3 linked regions of the Solanum lycopersicum genome follow. The protein of the gene in region 1 binds, or shares a complex with, the protein of each later gene. Links are inferred from orthologs where the notes say so. Each region holds a gene or a part of one and is shown on either strand. Other genes may lie near its edges. The genes, in order: SWR1 complex subunit 2, actin-related protein 4 and actin-related protein 6.

The links.
Region 2: SWR1 complex subunit 2 (region 1) and actin-related protein 4 share a complex: the UniProt entries of both Arabidopsis thaliana proteins name them as parts of the SWR1 chromatin-remodeling complex. The link is inferred for Solanum lycopersicum from reciprocal best matches to the Arabidopsis thaliana genes SWC2 and ARP4.
Region 3: SWR1 complex subunit 2 (region 1) and actin-related protein 6 share a complex: the UniProt entries of both Arabidopsis thaliana proteins name them as parts of the SWR1 chromatin-remodeling complex. The link is inferred for Solanum lycopersicum from reciprocal best matches to the Arabidopsis thaliana genes SWC2 and ARP6.

Annotation. Positions count from the first base shown.
Region 1 is NC_090803.1:3,732,743-3,736,879, forward strand, and holds the start of SWR1 complex subunit 2, read right to left. Parts: upstream 2,806-4,137; 5' UTR 2,496-2,805; coding exon 2,428-2,495; intron 2,296-2,427; coding exon 2,226-2,295; intron 702-2,225; coding exon 630-701; intron 464-629; coding exon 420-463; intron 333-419; coding exon 74-332; intron 1-73. UniProt on the Arabidopsis thaliana protein: Component of the SWR1 complex which mediates the ATP-dependent exchange of histone H2A for the H2A variant H2A.F/Z leading to transcriptional regulation of selected genes (e.g. FLC) by chromatin remodeling.
Region 2 is NC_090811.1:50,227,778-50,231,428, reverse strand, and holds part of actin-related protein 4, read right to left. Parts: intron 2,544-3,651; coding exon 2,463-2,543; intron 1,092-2,462; coding exon 1,031-1,091; intron 837-1,030; coding exon 787-836; intron 1-786. UniProt on the Arabidopsis thaliana protein: Involved in several developmental processes including organization of plant organs, flowering time, anther development, flower senescence and fertility, probably by regulating the chromatin structure.
Region 3 is NC_090804.1:24,555,643-24,560,019, reverse strand, and holds the start of actin-related protein 6, read left to right. Parts: upstream 1-1,538; 5' UTR 1,539-1,883; coding exon 1,884-2,575; intron 2,576-2,977; coding exon 2,978-3,209; intron 3,210-3,281; coding exon 3,282-3,345; intron 3,346-3,531; coding exon 3,532-3,616; intron 3,617-3,719; coding exon 3,720-3,770; intron 3,771-3,855; coding exon 3,856-3,918; intron 3,919-3,994; coding exon 3,995-4,124; 3' UTR 4,125-4,377. UniProt on the Arabidopsis thaliana protein: Component of the SWR1 complex which mediates the ATP-dependent exchange of histone H2A for the H2A variant H2A.F/Z leading to transcriptional regulation of selected genes (e.g. FLC) by chromatin remodeling. Binds to the promoter region of FLC chromatin.

The sequences.
Region 1 (4,137 bases):
AAGCCTGCCATGTAAGAAATTATAATTTGTTATTTGTACTATCACAAATAGCATTATAGTGCAAGCACCCTACCTTTGTTGTTGCCTGCAAGGCTGCACGAATGGCTTCCCTTTCAGCTTGTTTTACAACGACAGCCGTTCTTGTTGATTTCCTAATTGTTCTTTCTGCTTCAGTATCATCATGAGCACCATGATGTTCAGAAGGGGTGGACGGATCTGGAGCTTCTTCATTTTCTTGGTGTGCCTTTTCTGTCTTGGTAAGGGCTTTCATTTTCTTTTTCTTCTTTGCAGGCGGTCTTCCTGGATAGGTCAATCGCTTTTTGGTCTGTGTCCTGCCATAGAAAAGAGAAGAATATAAATCTAAGGACTATCCATATGGAGCTAAACGGACACTTCCCATCAACGTGAGTGTGTCAAACCTGTCATCGGGTTCATTTTCTCCTTCTTCATCAGGCTCGGGTTCCTGAAACAATATTAGGAAAGTCATTTTTAACATAGGTCATTCGAGAACAGAATTATCGATAAACGTACCCTTCCAAGCTAGAACTGCCAGTACAAGTAACCAATCCATCACAAAAATTTGTGAAATGAAAGGTTCAGTGATGAGAAATGGAACACTTAGAACTTACATCTTCATCAAAGTCACTGTCGAAAACATCCACAGCTTCCCCTTCCTCTTCATATTCAATGTCATTCTCTTCCTGATTTACATCCAACCAAAAGCTCATTAAATTCAATAAGCAAATTTGCCAAACAAGCACAAACCAAATATTTTATGGAAGGTTTGTGGATCTGGATTTCCAAAGCAATTAAAATATCAAAACTTTCAGGCCCAATTACAACCATGGATTCGAAATGTCAAGGCCTATGATTTGAGTAAAAGACTACTACTGCTCGAATAACGGAGGCTGCAGTCATTTTCACTCAAACTAGAGCTGCTGGGATAATGGAGGCTGCATTATTATAATTATCATCATTATTTTAGACCAGTAAAGTAAAGAACCAGCAGTTATTCCAGAGAAAAATATCTTTTTTGATAACCATGGTGTGTGGGCTAGCTTACATACACCTTGACAAGTCTGTCCACCACCAGCAAGTATCATGTAACTCTGTCCACCAAAGCTAGGACAGATAGATAGTAAGAAATCACCTAACGTTTTTTGTCTCAGCTAGGATTTGAACCTAAGAACACATAGTAGAAACTTTCCTTTGTTATATTCTCCGTAAAAGCACAATTACGTCCATATTTGAGAAACTTCAGCTTTCATCATTTTCTTGGTGTTCCTTTATCAAAAAATAAATATCATTTTCTTTGTGCTCTATGCTACTTTTGGACTTGCCAGAGAAAGCAAAGAAACGTGAATCTCTAAAAGCCAGTAGCAGTTGCACTTCAATCTGCCTCAATAATCCACATTAAACACGCATCGGATACTAAAGCTTTTTGTTTCTTAGTTCACAAACTTTCCAACTCAGAATCCATTTAACTGTTTCCTATGAAATAACAAGCTAACAAATCCCTTCTTGTTTCCACTGAACATGCCTATCCAACTCCTAGTGATCACTTTATGAATATTCTCCATTCTATTCTGAAACTTACAGTGGATACCTAGGCACAAAGAGACAGATGAAGGGTGCAGTAATTGATGAAATTTTCTGAAACTTGAAAGGCTCCTGAATATATGGTTTGGGCCAATTCTTCCCAACTTTATTTGAACTTCTTAAAGCTAAATTAGACATAGTTGTTTCCTATCATTTCCCCTTACCATTCACCAACTGATATAAACTTAACATGGTCAAATGCATATTCTTCTCCTGACAACACCCACCAACTTTGGTCCAAACCCTGTATTTGTATTAAAAACTCATTGAATAAGAACACATTATTAATTTTAGAACCCAAAGCTTAAAAAGACAAGAATCCCAAACCCATAAGTTTCAAACCCCAGCTCCACCTCTGCCCCCAACCCCCTCACGAAGAAACCATCCAATATAGAAAAAAAAATTGATCTTTTTTTCCACAAAGTTTCAAAAAATAATCTTTTCTTTTATAAAGTTGCTTCTCCTTGAGCCGAGCGTCTATCAGAAACAACCACTCTACTGCATACACTCTACTCTCGTCAGGCTCCAATTCTATACAAACATTAAGCTTAAGTTGCTACCTACTAACTACAATTACAATATAACACAAAAATGTCGTGACATTGTTATTGTAAAAAACAACATACATCTTTAAGAGCTTCCTGATTCCAGAAAAGTTCATCCTCTTCTACCTCATCATCCAACAATTTAGTCATCCTGTCATATAAAAATCCCATTTTTACAACAAATAAACTTAAATTAAACTCAACCCACAAAATTATACACACAACAAACAAACCCCAAACCAGAAAAATTATGAACTGATTGAAATTGGGTATCTTGATTTACCGTTTGCCTCTAGTAGCACGAGAAGTACGATCGAGAAAAACTGCATTTCCCTCTTTACTGGTCTCCATATCTGCTGATCAGATTTCAGAATCTTGATTTTGGTTATAAAAAAGTTACAATCTTTTACAGAGACAATTTGTCGAACAGTTGGTGTTCGTTAAACAATCACAAGTACTAAACTATGTTAATAAAATTAATAAAAGTAAGAGAACTCAATTGTGATTTTTGTTTCTTACATGTATCCGCGAGAAAAAAATATTGAAAACGCTCTTAAATTTAGTGTGAATTATTAATTTATATCTTCAAATTATTGACGATATTATAAATACTTTTTTATTTGACTAACTAAACCTAAATACACTCCACATCATGTAACATGAGTGAGACGGAAGGTATATCTATATTTAATAAGTCACCTAAAAGAATATTTCTAACGCGGTCAATATTTTAAAAACGAAATTAATAATTTACCTTTAAATTTAAAAATATATAAGATACCTACTTATTTTTCAGTAATGTATGAAATAAATTTATCGATTCAAAATTTAGATATATTAAAAAAAAATACTTCTCCGTTCGCTTGAATTTAAACCTTCTATAAGTAAAATAAATATATATATTTTTTGTCCAATAATAGTTGTGTCTTCGTTATATTAAACATAGTATTCAATAATATTTTGCACAATTTTAAAAATTAAGAAATAAGTTATCTTTTGTATTTATTTTATCCTTGTTATTAAATATGTATTTACTACATAACACATTTCACGTTAAATTAATAAAATGAAAAAAAAATATACTATTATTGGATCAAAAAATATTGAAAGATTATAGTTAGTACTTAATACTAAATAAACCTAAAATATAAAAATATTATGTTTGGGAAGTGAACATATTTATGAATATTACTAGAGGGCGGAGTTAAAAGGATAAAGAAAATTGTCAAAAATTCTAAAAGGGCATATTAATTTTTTTTAAAATCAAAACGGTAAAATTGTTCATGATGTAGTGACTTTTGCCTTCTGAAAAAGCGAAATCGCTGCAATTGCAGCGATTTCTTAAATTTGCTTTTTTTTTAAAAAAAAAATTAAAATCAAACAAATCGCTCCACACGGAGCGATTTTCAAAAAAAAAAAATGTATAAGTCGCTGCTTCTGCAGTGACTTCCATCAATTTATTTTTTTAATTATTTTTTTTTACTTTATTTAAAAAAAAAAGTTAGATTTAATTTTTTTTTAAAAAAAAAATCATTTGCACCGATTTTTAATTAGTTTTTTTAAAAAAAATCAAATCGATGTAAAGGATTTACACTTAATTATTTTTTTAAAAAAATTTAATTAAATCGCTGCAAAAAAAATTAACCGATTAAATTAAGTTTTCAAAAAAAATAATCTTAATTAACACATTTTTTGGGCTGATCTTTATATGTGTTTATGTTATGAATTCTTAATTAACACATTTTTTGTTTTACACTTAAATTTTTATTATTTTCTTTTGAAAACTTAATTTAATCGGCTAATTTTTTTTGCAGCGATTTAATTAAATTTTTTTAAAAAGAATATAAATTAAGTGTAAATCGCTGCTTTTACAGCGATTTGATTTTTTTAAAAAAAAACTAATTAAAAAACGCTGCCAATGATTTATTTTTTTTAAAAAAAATTTGAATCAATTTTTTTTAAATAAAGCAAAAAATATAAAAAAAAATTGATG
Region 2 (3,651 bases), on another chromosome or scaffold:
CTGCGATAAACTTTTTTTGGTTTTGGTGTAAACAGAACTACATAGAAGACACTGCTTCAATCATTAATATCCTAGATTTCTGTTCTTTTTTCCCCATTGAAAATATGGTTTCAGCACAACCTATTGAGTTTTTTTGCTTAAATATACAAAACTGGTACTTGCTCAAGAAACAGAAGACATCGCATACTAGAATTATTAAAAAGATGATTGAAATGGAAGGGTATTACAGGTATACTAAGCAATAGTGGAGATTGAAAGAGAATAACAATACAGAATAGTATCCACCTAATATAAACTAGAGCAACAATACAGAATAGTATCCACCTAATCTAAACTAGAGCATTATAGCATTTCTATAATTCACATTATCACATATTCTTAATACTGATTGCAAAGATAGACATCATATCTCCATATTCTCAAACATAATTCTTAACGAATAAGATGCTAGCCTACTTGAGATTCTCTCATTTTCACCATTCGCTCATCGATCATCATACAGTTATGAATAAAATTTAGACTGCTACAGATGTAAATGTATGGAAATTTAACTATTCAAGGTGAAAAGATACTAAAATTAAGATGCCATCATGCACCAGAAGTCATGAAGTCTACAATTTTTTCATATCCCACTTCAAGGAGAAGGTACAAAGAGATAATGCAAATATTATAAATGATCTTACGGCTAAGAGACTAGATATCTCAGTAAAAGAACTCTATTATTGACAAGAATAGTCAAATAAGTAATTCAAAAGGGTAGCCAGTAAGTAGAACATAACATCCTACCTGTCAACAACCAAAGAAGTTGCACGTCCTGATGCGAAAGATGTGAGAACCTAGCATTAACAGTACCATGAGAAAATTAACAACTAGAGTGGAATGATCTTGTAATGTTATGAAGCTACAGCTTTCTTTATTATTTTTTCTTTGTTCTTGAATCAAAAGTGGAAGTTCCACTACTAAATAGCACAAAGAAGGTTATGTTTAAGACGCTACAAATTAAAGATTAGAAGTGGGTTAAGGCACTTACAGCATTTTTGGCCAAAAACAATGCTGGAACTTGGTATTTTTCAAACATTATCTCTGCAGCCCTGTTAAATAGATGATCATCAGTCCACTGTAATTTCCATTTTGCATACAGATGACATAATAATGCAAACACCAGGCTGCCTTTCCTCTTTTTTGGGTTCATGATGGACAATTTCTTTCACAGTAGACAGTTCTTGTTAAGGAAAGTAATTCCTTGGACTCGACTGATTCTAGAAGGTATTACAAATTAAACAAGATAAGGCTTTTATATTGACACTTTGGATCCATTCTTGGCAAACAAACAGTTGATCAGTACACCAGTCAGTAGTTGACAGTCCTAACTTAGCAGACCACCACGAATAGGAATTCCAGGCAAGGCCCTAATAAGTGATCTTATGTTTGAGAGAAATCCACCACCTGTGAGGACCACAATGACCTTATAAAAAAAGTCAAGGTGGACAGACATAAATTTGATGGGAACTTGACCTAGATTTGTTCTTTAATAGGGAAGATAGCTTAGAGAAGTATTTTGATAGGTCCAAATTACTCAAGCATGGCACAAGAATCGCTCTAGTCAAAAGAGATTTACAGATGAACTGCTTCTAAAATCTCACTTTTGTGGATTCTTCTCTCACTCTATTTCTGTTTTATTCTACTCTCACTGCTCTTCTCTCCTCTCTTTTCTCATATTCCCCCCTTCTCTTTCACCCTACTCCATATTGCTACATCACTGTATCGGTGCTCTAGGTCCTTATTCATCACAAATAGCTGCACTTTTAGCATTCATCAATTATAAAAGTACCCATCACCTTATACTTCGTTTAATTGGATATATATTGTATTCACATCAAACTAACAAACTTCTGATGTTAATGACTTCTTCTTTTTATGGCTTCCCACCCTGTCTCCACCTCTCCGATACCCACATTGGAGCCCGACTAAATCCGGATTCACTCCGGGAAGTCCCACATTGGGTTTGGGTTTGGGGGTGGGGGTGGGGGTGGGGGTGGGGGGGAGCGCTCCCTAACAAAGGAGACCCAAACCCGAGACCTCTTGGTTAAGGATGAAGGAGTACTTACATCTTCACCACCAACCTTGTTGGTTTGTTAATGACTTTTAAATAAAAGGAAGCTGTTAGAATTCTCATACCTTTCCCCTTTGAAATAGAAAAGACATGTGGGCCTACAGGATTGATAAATATGTTAACTTAACTTGAGGATGTGCTTTCATCTTATATTTTTCTCGTCCTCCTAATAAAAGTGTGTTCTCCAATAAATTAACATAAAACGCAAAAATAGGCAGAAAAAGGCAACACATTCAGGAATAATAAAGCTTGAAATCATGTACATTATTATTACACAATGCCCAAAAGATAAATGACATGATTTAATGTGAAGTAATAAGACTGCTAAAATACAGATCGCATTGCTCACTTTTCCCTCTGCTGCTGAGTGTTTGAACAAGGCTCTGCAAGTAACATTGGATGCTCCTTTGGATCGATCAGTAAGCATTCCCTGTAAAGGAATGTAAGTAGCAGAAGAAAAAGGTTCTTTTTTCTCCCAATCTTCAATAGGCAAGCATCAACTTAACCAAATGACGGGACAAAAGAACAAAAAAGTAACACAAGAAAAGCATATAAGGAAGACTTTTTTCTCTTAATCTTCAAATGAATCAGTAATACCACATTTCTTCACATAAAGCAGGAATTCAAGTGATCAAAGAAGTCAAAAAGAGAAATGGAGGATTGTCCCATCATGCATTTGGTGAATAAAAGGAATCAGAGATGTTTTGAACACAAACGAAGCACTATCCAGAAGTTGAAGATCAACCGTTTAGACTTTCACAATTTAGTGTAAAAAAGAATACATAGAGGAATCGCAGTCAATTTTTAATGTTCTAGATTACATGTAGGGAGGCTTAGATCTAGGAACTCTTAACTATAATTCACACTGTTTTGGGTGACTTCACAGCTTGTGTGGTCTACCTTTATATAACAACTTGTTACAATTCTCCGGGAAAAAAATTGTAGTCTGATCTTCAAAAATAGATTGCAAGCAGTATCTACATAATTGTCTTTCCTTTTTAGGATGAATCACTAATGTGACATTATTTACATTAATATAAGAGCAATCACGCAAAGACTGCATGGCAATCTAGATGCAAAGGGTACATATGCAAGTGTCTGACACAGGTAAAAGAGGTTCTAGAGTGTAGGTTTCAACAAGACTCAAGCTTATTCCCAACAAGTAGATATCACCTATATGGATCTATATTAAAGCATAATATATAAAACAATCAATAATTCTAACATAGAAAAATAACTCACTCTTAAGATAAATTTTCGCTAAAAGCCATTTTTGGTTAATTAATAAGTTATGTTAAATATTTTGTTGTGTCAAATGATCCAAATTTAACACAATTTATTTATTTTATAACTGAGAAATACCCAAGGACCAGCAGAAACACAGTTCAAAACTCAATGAATAATAGCCTGCCCCTCTACCCATCTCCAAGTTAGTCAATTATTCTTGCTCAGTTTATTTATTTTTTTTTGAGAATTCTCAATTAATCTTGTTCTTATAGATCTTGTCACTAAATCTATAATGAACTATCTTTGTGGTC
Region 3 (4,377 bases), on another chromosome or scaffold:
TCAACTATAGGAGCAGAGTTCATTGCATGCTCTGCAACAGTAAAAGAAGTTATATGGCTAAAAAAGTTCATAGAACACTTAGAGATCATTGGTAGGACAATGGATGCAATGCAAATCTTTTGTGATAGCCAAGAAACATTGACTTATATTAAAGACCTTAAGTATCATAGTAAGACTAAGTACATAGACACAAAGTATAATTTTATTAAAGACATTATAGCTCGTAAGGAAATCACTTTATAGTGTATTTCTACACACAAGATGGTAGTAGATCCCTTGACAAAGCCAATATCTGTCTTTGTTAAACATGGAAAATCTATAAGCTCGCGTGAGTTATAAAATGATATATTTTCTTATTTGAATATCTTGATCGTGATGTATGGATAGTTTTTTTTTATGTTTTTTGTGCTTATTTCATACATTATTATTAATCAGCACATTCACAATATTAGAATATGTCGAACAACTTGATAATATTGAGTTTCTCACATGAGCAATCAGCTCGGGGTCTTATGGAAAGTGAGTCAAGATGAGACATTTGTGTTTCTTAACGCTAAAAAGGATAGTTAATAAATGTGACACCTTTGATTAAGAATATATTATTTAAAGTTGCCTTAATAAAAGATTAGGAGGAGATCTAAGATAAATGTCAAAAATGGTCGAAATTATGAATTTCCCATAATACTTGTAGCCATATGTGAGATCTCCTCAAAAAGTCTAATAAAATGGTAGAATTCAAGTCAAAAAAATGATTTACTTGGACCAAAATTTGTAGGGTGTAAAAAAATAAAAATTGACATACATTTCATATTGCATGTGCTTCATTACCGCAAATTGAAATGGTATGAGACCTTGAAAAGATTTTTTTTATGACTTTGACAATATCATAAAGTGATGGGTTAGTGTATACTAGTTTGTATGAATCTAAAAGTTATGAAAATGTCACCTGAAGGAGTAATGTTATAATTAATCCTCATCATAGTGATATGTGGGCGAAAAAAGATCATGTTAGATATAAACACATTATGCTTGTGTTTGAGTGTTGTCCATTATAAAACCTACTTTAGTTGACATCATAAGGGTTGACACAAGGTATATGAGAATTGAAAATGAATAGAGAATTAAAAAACCATATGTGTATATAAACATGATTGGCGTATCTAAGGCACTTTATATGACATCATAATATATCATAAATGATCATAAAAAGGGTAGTAGTCTCTTATGCTGATCTAAAAAGAGATTTCTAGTGTAAGAGCTTTCAAACTTATTGTCAAAGCGGTCACGACAATACACTTGCTATGAATGTGTGAATGAATTTACTTTTCAAAGCCCAACGTGCTTCATCCCTTCATGTGTGAGTGTGAGATGTTGGAAATAGATACATCTATTAATAGGTTGATTAATAACTTGCTTCACTCATGAAGTAAGTTATAACTATACTAAAAATAACTTTGTATGATAAAAGAGGAAGAATTATGTATTCTTTAATGGAGTGAGAGTTATGAGATAAGGGCTATTGTAAATAAGAGTTGCAAATCTTAATCTTATCCTAAAAAAGGAAGGATTTGAGATCGCCAAAGACGATACAAAAACAATACAAGACTCTATAATAATCTCGTAAGAACATAGTGATAATACTAATCCTAGAATAAGAAAGATATATATAATTCCACATAAATTTTTTAGTATATCAAACCCTTTCTCATATAATAAATCATGATACTCGTAACAAATGTTTGCCACCCCCATTAGCCGCTTTTTTCTTTCAACATAAATTCTCACTTCAATTCGTCCCAAAAAATCAATTATCATGCCGATGGATTTAATTCATTGCGCCATAAATTAGGAAGCTGGGTGTTCAGTTAGTGTGGCAATCGGAAATGTCGAATGTTGTAGTTTTGGACAACGGCGCCGGCGTAATCAAGGCTGGTATCGGCGGCGAAAGAGATCCAACAGCTATTGTCCCCAACAGCATGGGCCGTCCACTTTCTTCCAAGAAATGGCTTATGGCTGACCAGCTTCTTTCCCCAGACGTCGACCTCACTTCAGCCACCGCCCGCCGCCCTTTCGACCGCGGTTATCTTATCAACCCTGATCTCCAATCTTCCATTTGGTCTCACATCTTCTCGAACCTTCTCAAAATTACTCCTTCACACTCTTCTCTACTTCTTACTGAACCCCTTTTCAATATCCCTTCCATACAACGTTCAATCGACGAAATTGTATTCGAAGATTTTAATTTTAAGGCTCTTTATGTATCAGATTCCCCCTCTTTAGTTCATCTTTATGAAGCATCTCGTCGCCCTTATGGCCTTGTTTCTAAAGCCCAGTGTAGCTTAGTTGTCGACTGTGGATTTTCCTTTACTCATGCTTCCCCGGTAGTTCAGAATTTTACATTGAATTATGCTGTTAAAAGACTTGATCTTGGGGGTAAAGCTTTGAGTAATTACTTAAAGGAGTTGGTCAGTTATAGAAGTGTTAATTTGATGGATGAAAGTTTCCTTATGGATCATGTTAAGGAGGAACTTTGCTTTGTCTCTTTGGATCTTCCCAGGGACTTGCACATTGCTAGGTAATGCTCATTAATTTCGATACTTGTTGTGTCATTGTTATCCTCCTGTGGATATCAAAGTTCTTGCCATTCCGAATTAAGTGCTGCACCTTATGGGGTCTGTTTGCTCTTATTTTAGTGTAATAACTAGTTTAAAAGGATGGGGGCATGAACGCAGGATGGGTCGTGTAGTGTACTCGACTACCATTAAGTAGTTCAAAGGGATCTCTAGTCAATTACATGTTTTGGCCCCTCTGGAACAAATGTAGAATTAGGATCCTTCAATGCCGTGATGTTTGAACCGCTTTCTAAACTTAAAACTTAGATTAAGCGAGCAGAAAATCCACATTAAAGTAAGATGATCTTTGAGTGTCAAACATGCTGGGATCTTCCTTATTCATAACTACTATGTCAATCTCCCAGGAAACCGGGGAAGGACAATTTGTTTAGGTGTACGTATGTTCTTCCTGACGGTATTACACATACTAAGGGCTTTTTGAAAGACCCTGAAGAACCAAAGAGATATCTTCCTTTGTATGATGAAGCTCCGCAGCAGGTAGCAGGGGAACAAATTGATATGGATCAGCTCGAGAACACTGACAATTCCGAAGACAGGAACAGAAACAATGGATCAAAAATTGATTTGACAAAAAATGTACTTTTTCCAAGCCCTTATAAATAGCTCGTCATCCTCTTTCCATTTATTCTAATTTATTTGTATGAACAGGAATTTGGCTTAACAAATGAGCGGTTCCTTGTCCCAGAGATGATGTTTCGTCCAGCTGACTTGGGTCCGTATCACAGTGTATCTTTGACTTGTATTTCAGTTTTGTGTTCAGTTGAAGAATCTGCTTCAATAATTCAGCATTTTTTTCCCTTTCATGTGAATTAGAGTGTCTGGAAGTGTAGCTCTATGAATTTGTTTATTCACAAGTATGAATTTGGTTGTCAGCATCTCAGTTATTTGTGGCTTACAGGACTGAATCAGGCTGGACTTGCAGAGTGCATTCATCGAGCTATCAGTTCCTGCCATTCTCATCTTCACCCTGTTCTATATGAGAGGTAGTGCAGAATCATCGGTGCATCTCAAAAGCTTATCTACTAATATTGGTTTATGTTTATCTTCCTTCTTCTAATGTCAATGTATTGAATTTGGACGAGGAAGCATTATTCTGACGGGAGGCAGTACTCTATTTCCTCATTTTGCCAAAAGACTGTAAGAATGCAGCCTTTATTGCCCATTGCTTTAAAAAGGCTGGATGTTCTATTTGCTTATGTCTTGAAATTTCATCTAAATGCAGAGAAATGGACCTTCGGCCTCTTGTCCCAGATAAATATTGTTTAAAGATCACAACTCAAGAAGAGTAATATACTGTCCTTCTGGAGAAACTGTTCAAAGAGTTTCTACTACTCTAACATGTCTTTTGTTACTGTTTGCAGTCCTATTTTAGGTGTTTGGCGTGGGGGATCACTCTTGGCATCAAGTCCTGACTTTGATGCAATGTGTATCACAAAAGCTGAATATGAGGAGCTGGGATCAGCAAGATGTCGAAAGAGATTCTTCCACTAACTTTTCTAGTGTTATGGAGAGGAGAAATTCAGATTTTAGGATGATAGTTGGCCTCTGCAGTTGCCAATGAGCTAAATACCGAGGAAATTGAAAACAGATTTGCTCTGAAATGATTCTTATTCTAGTCTGTTTCTTATAAATATTGCAGAACTCTCCTTGGTTGAAATCTAACTTATCTGCAATGAAATGTTGTTGGCATCTTCAATGTGAATACTGGTGTCGCTCGTCCTTGATTGTAGTATGGGTGTTATGT